Xenopus tropicalis: one gene and its partner. The protein of the gene in region 2 binds, or shares a complex with, the protein of the main gene of each other region. Links are inferred from orthologs where the notes say so. Each region holds a gene or a part of one and is shown on either strand. Other genes may lie near its edges. The genes, in order: map1lc3c and plekhm1.

The links.
Region 1: the proteins of plekhm1 (region 2) and map1lc3c are in contact, whole or in part, in a crystal structure (PDB 5DPW), measured with the Homo sapiens proteins. The link is inferred for Xenopus tropicalis from reciprocal best matches to the Homo sapiens genes PLEKHM1 and MAP1LC3C. Residues at the interface, in NP_055613.1 of Homo sapiens: Glu632, Asp633, Glu634, Trp635, Val636, Asn637, Val638, Gln639, Tyr640; in NP_001004343.1 of Homo sapiens: Phe13, Arg16, Lys17, Glu25, Ile29, Phe33, Lys36, Pro38, Asp54, Lys55, Thr56, Lys57, Phe58, Leu59, Val60, Pro61, Glu63, Leu64, Ile72, Arg76, Phe114.

Annotation. Positions count from the first base shown.
Region 1 is NC_030681.2:57,421,576-57,424,637, forward strand, and holds the end of map1lc3c (microtubule-associated proteins 1A/1B light chain 3C), read right to left. Parts: intron 1,727-3,062; coding exon 1,567-1,726; 3' UTR 600-1,566; downstream 1-599.
Region 2 is NC_030686.2:37,773,509-37,777,340, reverse strand, and holds part of plekhm1 (pleckstrin homology domain-containing family M member 1), read right to left. Parts: intron 3,787-3,832; coding exon 2,899-3,786; intron 2,725-2,898; coding exon 2,579-2,724; intron 2,033-2,578; coding exon 1,839-2,032; intron 406-1,838; coding exon 342-405; intron 196-341; coding exon 38-195; intron 1-37. UniProt on the Homo sapiens protein: Acts as a multivalent adapter protein that regulates Rab7-dependent and HOPS complex-dependent fusion events in the endolysosomal system and couples autophagic and the endocytic trafficking pathways.

The DNA of each region.
Region 1 (3,062 bases), on a different chromosome or scaffold from region 2:
CTGGAAGAGAGGCGCTTGCAAGGGGTCATGATTACTCTGTACAAGTACTGTACTTTTGAGGGGATTATAGACAGATAGGGGATGTTCTTTTTTCCTATAAAAAGGACCAGTGCACCAGAGATCACCCCTTTATATTAGAGGAACGGAACTTCCATTTGAAGCAGCGTAGGTGGTTTTTCACGGTGAGGTTGTGAAATGCCCTTCCTAGTGATGTGATGGCAGATTCTTTTAATGCTTTTAAGGAGGGCTTGGGTGAGTTCTTGAACAAAAATATCCAAGGCTATTGGGAAACTAAAATGTGCAATTAGTATTAATGTTGGTATATATACTGTAGTTTATGTATGCAAGTGTATAGATAGGTCAGTATAGGTGTGCGCGCTGGGGTTCGATGGAAAGATTTGAACTTGGGTTTTTTTTTCAACCAGATTTAACTATGATCTGTTCCTGTTTATAGCCAATACAAACCAAGCTATCCCACATACATACATACATAATCAGGCAGTATATCCAGGTGTTGGATTAATTGGTAAATAGGCAAATCAGTAAATTAACAATAACTATTTTTGACACCCTCCACAGTTAAATTAAGGCAGTAGTTATTTTATGAAGAGATTTTATTTAGCATTAGGCTGACTGATTTTGTGCAGTAACCTCTTGTGATATATGTAAAACAAAAACCTCTTGATTGGCCAGAGTTTTTTCATAAACACAAATACACTATTGCACATTGGAAATACAGAAGTAAAAAAAAAAACAAAAAAACAGCCAGAAAGAACCTAGGAACCTTACAGCCCACCCTGTCCTAACAGTGAATAACCATTTGTACTGCTTCAGGTGAAAGAAGGGATGGCTTCTTTTTTTCTTTTCAGTGTTAAAAAAAGTGTCTTCTTAGAAATTCTTCTTCCCCACAGAAAACAAACTCTTCTCTGCTAATAGCACGTGCCCATTAATTTTAGCTGCATGTTATTAATACATATACATTTTGATGTGGTACCCAAAGCTGCAATACATACCCAAGCCCAGGTCTTACAAGAAATATATAGAGGCAAAAGCATTCCGTCAATGCCCTTTCTATGCAGAGAGTACTTTATGCTTCTGCAGCTACTGACTTATACTGTGCAGAGCAAAGTCTGTTATACACAATAACCCCAAATACTATTTCATGTGAAGGGGAAGTCTATCTAAAAACAAAATTGTTCTAAGTTAGAGAAAACAGTTGTGTTTAGTACTACATAGAATCTGCAAAAAAATTCTGTAAAAATAAAATATTTTAAATCCTTTATTACAATAAATTTACAAAAGCATTATCTTTTGACTTTTCTAAAAGGATGCTCAATAAATATTTAACATACATAAAAGGTTCCTTTAAGTGAAAACATTTCAATAAAAAGTATTGTACACTATAGCCATATACTTCTAAGTTCCAGCCCATGTTATAATAATGACCAAAAATGTTTAAGGTGTAAATTTAAATAATAATATAATACTAGGGTCTAGAATTTACACATGTACATATCTGGGCCCCTCTTAGTACAAAGATTGTCCTCGTTTTTTTGTGATATGCATTCAACCAAACATCTCTTGAGATGCATATGTCATATATAGGAAACCATCTTCATCCTTATGGTCCCTATAAAGCTCAGCCATCGTAAGTGACATGCTGGCAAGGCTCTTGTTATTCACAAGAAGGTAAAATGCTTGTGTAGCAGATAAGTTCATGCGATTCCTGCACAAAGAAAAAACACACATTTAAAGATTTTTTTCTGTACCCAATAAGAATCATTAGTAGTATGGTAACAGTAATATAGTGGTTATGTTATAAAATGCCTTCACATTCTGTATAATAAATGGGTGTTTATATTTAACATACAAAAGCAAATATGAAGGGTAAAGAGGGCCCTGCCCAAAGGAGCTTACATTCTAAAAGCAGGAGGCATTAGGACACCCTGAATAGAATAGGAAAATAATATACATTTCTGCACCTGCCCATAGCTTCTGAGAGATTAAATGTGCATGCATGTACCCTGAATCAGCTCATTTCTGGTACAGAAGATAAACTTTCCACAGCATCTTTTAACTTATTTTAAAAGTGAATAATCATTCTGAATAACTCCTAAAGAGAAATCCTTCATAGTATATCTACATGCCATGGCTATACTTTTTTTTTTTTTTTTTGTTTAACCTTTCCTTGTCCTTCAAGAAATCTTTCAGAGACAGAGATTCAACAAAATATGGTAGAGAATTCCAGAGAAGGGGTACAGCTCTTGCAAAAGTATTGAATGCAAGGGTGCGAGGAAGTAATGAGAGAGGTTATCAGGAGCAGGTCATTACAGCAGCATAGCAAATGGTTTGGCAAGTATCTGGAGAGGAGTTCAGAGATGTAAAGTGGGGCAGAGTTATGGAGTGCTTTAATTGTGAGGGTTATTAGTTCATATTTTATTCTGAATGGTAGTGGATTTGCCGGGTTTGGCAAAGCAGAGAAAGAATACTTACTGAGTGGTTGGAAGGCCAATTAATCAGTACTGTAATCACCGTGATATGCTGAGAGCATGGGAGAAGTGCAAGTTGGTTAGCATAGTAATAAAACAACTTGCCTTCCTCTCACCAAGAGTCCTTTCCTATGTCACAGTTCCTCCAGTAAAGGTGCAGGGAGCTGTTGTCTATCCCCAAATACTTTATTAACTCTTGTCACACCAGTACAATCATAAATATCACAATTTTACTTGTCACACGTCAGTTCCAATTCTCAGTAGGAGTTTTTTTATAATAACAGTTCCCTTCAGTTAGGTTACCACTTTTCATATTCGCCGCCAAAACTGGATCCACACTTGTTGCTTTCTAGCAATCTCACATTTTTCTCTTTCACAGCTTCTCTTTCCCAAACTCAGGTCACAAATGTGGCATTTTTCAATAGGGATGCACAGAATCCACTATTTTTGGATTCGGCTGAACCCCAAATCCTTTGTAAAAGATTTGGCCGAATACCAAACAGTTCTCTTTTGCACTTCTGTATCTATACAGAAGTGCCAAAGAGAACCGTCCACCGGTGTAAAAAAATTCCA
Region 2 (3,832 bases):
ATATTGAAACCACTTCATGGCTAAGTGTCTCCCTTACCTGGTGGTCGTTTCAAACTGGAAGGGGTAAATGATCTCATCCTGGTTGCAGATTTGGCAGATAAAACCTTTTTGGCTGCAAAGATCACAATCATACACATGCTTGGTGGCCAAATCCACAGCGGCTCCCAGAAACAGTTCGAATTCCCCGTTGGCAATCTACAACAGGTAATGGGGTAACGTGGATCAACAGTAATGAAATGTGAAAGAAACTGAAGCTGGCCTGTTTTGTTTTACAGGAAATAAAGTGTCTAGTTCCCCTATTTGAGCACTTTATCTTAATTAGATAATGAAAGCTGCCATACCTGCCTGAAATCCTGGACACTATAGGTGTGTGCACAATCCAGTAGGTAGGTGCGGTTATCCAGGCTGAACAAAAGAATAAGAAAATATTTATTAAAAAAGGACACATTGGATCCATAACGGGCACTGTTTCAACCCTATGTAACTAACTATGTAACATATTAGCAACAGAAGAGCTAAAAGTAACCAGTGCATGTGATTATACGTAAGACCGTAAATATGACATATAGATAGTTATCAGAATTTATTGAGATTTATGTTTGTTTCAAAGATTCCTAAGTTATGGGGATTGGGGGGAAGTCATAATATACATTTAACATAGTAGCCGAGGGTGAAAAAACCTTCACTCATCAAATCCAGCCCTTCACTCATCAAATCCAGCCCTTCACTCCAATGTCTGATGCCCCTTTGAAATCGTTAAAACCAAAGCAGGCTTGCGATAATGTATTGGGAACAGCAGGCCTATCCCATTACTCCACTAGGTGGCAATCTGATTACATTTTGGAGCAGTAACTGCTTTTTTTTTTTAACTCTGCTAATGCTTAAAGGAGTGTTTTACCTAAGGAGGGCGATATCAGGCTTATCTGAGTGGCTCTCACATTACTATGACAGGAATTAGGGATGCACCGAATCCACTATGTTGTAAATTACGCAAACCCCGAATTATTTGTACAAGATACAGCTGAATACCGAACCGAATGTGAATCCTAATTTATGTGACAAAAAAATCACATGATTTTAAAAATGTGGCTTCTGTACGGCCAGAGGCATGGATTTGGCTGAATCCGAATTCTGCTGAAAAAGGTTGAATCTTGCCCGGATCCTAAACTGAATCCTGGATTCAGTGCATCCCTATCAGGAATATGAGCTGTCAGAGCAAGGACCACATTAATGAGCCGATGAGGTATATATTAAACCTGCCCGACTGACATATGGCCGATTTTCAGCCAAATAAAGGTTGGGTAGGCAACCTTGTGTCTGCCTGCTTACCAGAGATGATAACTTTCCTTAGCTATCATTCGTTACATAGGCACAAAGCATAGAGCACAAACAATGTTAACTCCCTCTTGTTCCCTTGTTTCGGAGGTATATATTGACTTTTTCTAGTAAGGAAATCATTAAATAAGTTGTTCAATGGCACGGTCTGCAAGCATGGTAAAACAACAATGTCCTTCATGCTTGTGGCTCAATATTTTACTGAGATAAATAAGTGTCAAAAACCAACTAGATTTTCATGGATCACTCTCCAGTAAACTCCAAGAAAATCAGATCTACCAACCTTTTGCGTTTGGAACCCACTGATCAGTGGCTTTCAGTCTTTCCGGGTTGTCAAATGGCCCCTTATGGTCCATCACTGGCCAAGGCCCCCTTTACTCATTAACAGAGTTATAAATACATGAAAACTACAGCTGTAGCATGGAAAATATCTAAGACAGACATCAAGATGTCTCTCTACCTGACTGCAGTTTGTCCTTTAGGCTGGGCTTCCCGCTACCCACCTCTTGCTTAGTTCCTGAAATGCTCCACTACGACAGGTCTGCAGGTATTCTGCCAGGAGCCTCAGTTTCTCTCGGCTGTGGCTGATATTGTGCATAGTGTGCGAGTGCTGATACAGGCCGCTATTGACAGACGGCACATTTATGATTGGTTCATTGAGCACCATATTGAGGAATTTTAATGCTGGTCTCGATACCTGGTGGAACAAAAAAGGCAATGTGTTCGTACGGAGGCAAAAAAGGATGTCTGTAACCAAAGCAAGATATGTGTACACTGCCCACTGATAAACACCTTTTATTTTCTAATGCTTACAATTAAAAGTTTTCTCTCCTCCCCCCAAAAATCTTGAATACTAGATTCCGCTACTTGCAGACATAAATTCAGGCCCTCATTATAAACCCAACTGTTGGCTAGGGGGTCAAAAGATGTGGCTCAGCACTTCAGGTAAAGATCCGCTCATTTTGTGACCTAATGAGTATGTGAACCTATTTATACAAAGGTTGACAGTAATTTTTTTTTTATGTATATATTTATATACTACAAGGCTGTCCACCCGAAGGCCCTGACTCCAGATGAGGCTCTCAAAGCGATTTTTATGGCCCCCAGTCTATTTAAGAGATTTACAGACCTCTTAGTATTACAATGTTCAGCATAAGCCATTGTGACAAGTAGAAGCCACTGTTTCATTGAAATCTTCGGATGAGCATATAATTCCTTTTCATGAAAAGACTGTCCTACTCACGGCTTGCTCTGTGAGGTCCCAGTTGTGCACCATTCTTGAAGGAATGACGGAGCCCTCATCCTGATGGCACCACTCACAGTAGTAAAGTGCTGAATAAGCGCAATGTTTGGCCTTTCCAAACTGAAAACCAATCTGTTTGTGGCAAGCTGAAAAGGAAAGAATTGCAAGTTAATCTGTGTAGCAAATGTACTAAGTGCATCAAACAGGGCTGGGCAAACTGTAGCCCTCTAGGCATAGTTGAACTACAAGTCCTACGTGCAGTAGGACCACATGTAGAAGGGTACAATTTGATTGCCAACCATAAAAGAGGCTTCTCTGACCTGCACATTTAAAGTTCTGGGAGTCTAAGCCTTTCTCAGAGGGAATGTACAACAAGTACTGAAACAGTGCATGCCCCCGGATGTGGGACTTTATCGGGAAGCTAGCAGTGCCCGCCAGTAATGCCAGCTCATCTGCCAGTTCCAAGTAAACATCTCGCACCATCTCCCTCCAGTGTTTGGCCTCGCTAGAGCTCTCAGCCTGCAGTTGCAGAGAACCTTTGGACGTGACCAGTTTGAAGCAGGATGGGCTTCCGAGACTGGCATCAGGCAGAATGTCTCTCACCATCTCAATACCAAATATGTTGTGTAAAACTTTCTCAGAGTTCTTGGCTAAGTAACACCTCAGCTCCCTTTCTGTTAAGGAGAAAATGCAGCGCGTCCATTTTTTATCCATCTTCATGTACAACACAGACTCTTTTAATGCATCAGGCTCCAATTTCAATGGACAGACCCAATCAAATGACTCAGTCTTTATGCTTCCAACAGGAGATGATGGGCTCCTTTGAGGAGACAGGAGCGGGCTTTCCTGGCCTGTTTTGGGAGGGTCTGGGAACTGTAAAACTTCCCACGTGTCATCCTTCTGAGGGCGGCATTTTTGTAAGGCTTCCCGTATCCTGTCAACCCAGTCTTGAGCCTCATCCCTTGAGGGGGCTCGCAAATGGAACCTTTTCGCTGGAAAATTTAAATCAAAGCGGCCATCACTCTGCACTGGGCCAACAGATTCGCATCGTATCAGGGTGCAATTCTCCAAACAGACTCGGTCCTCTCCTTTCAGGAACATGCGAAACTCTATGGGAGTCAGCTCGCAGTAAAAGCTTTTATACATCCCCAAGGCTCTTCTCTCGAGGTCTCCCATCATTAGGAGACCACGGAAAGGGTTGGAGAGGCCTAGGAACACATGAAATTAGATTATTGGAAAAACTCTTGGAGATAA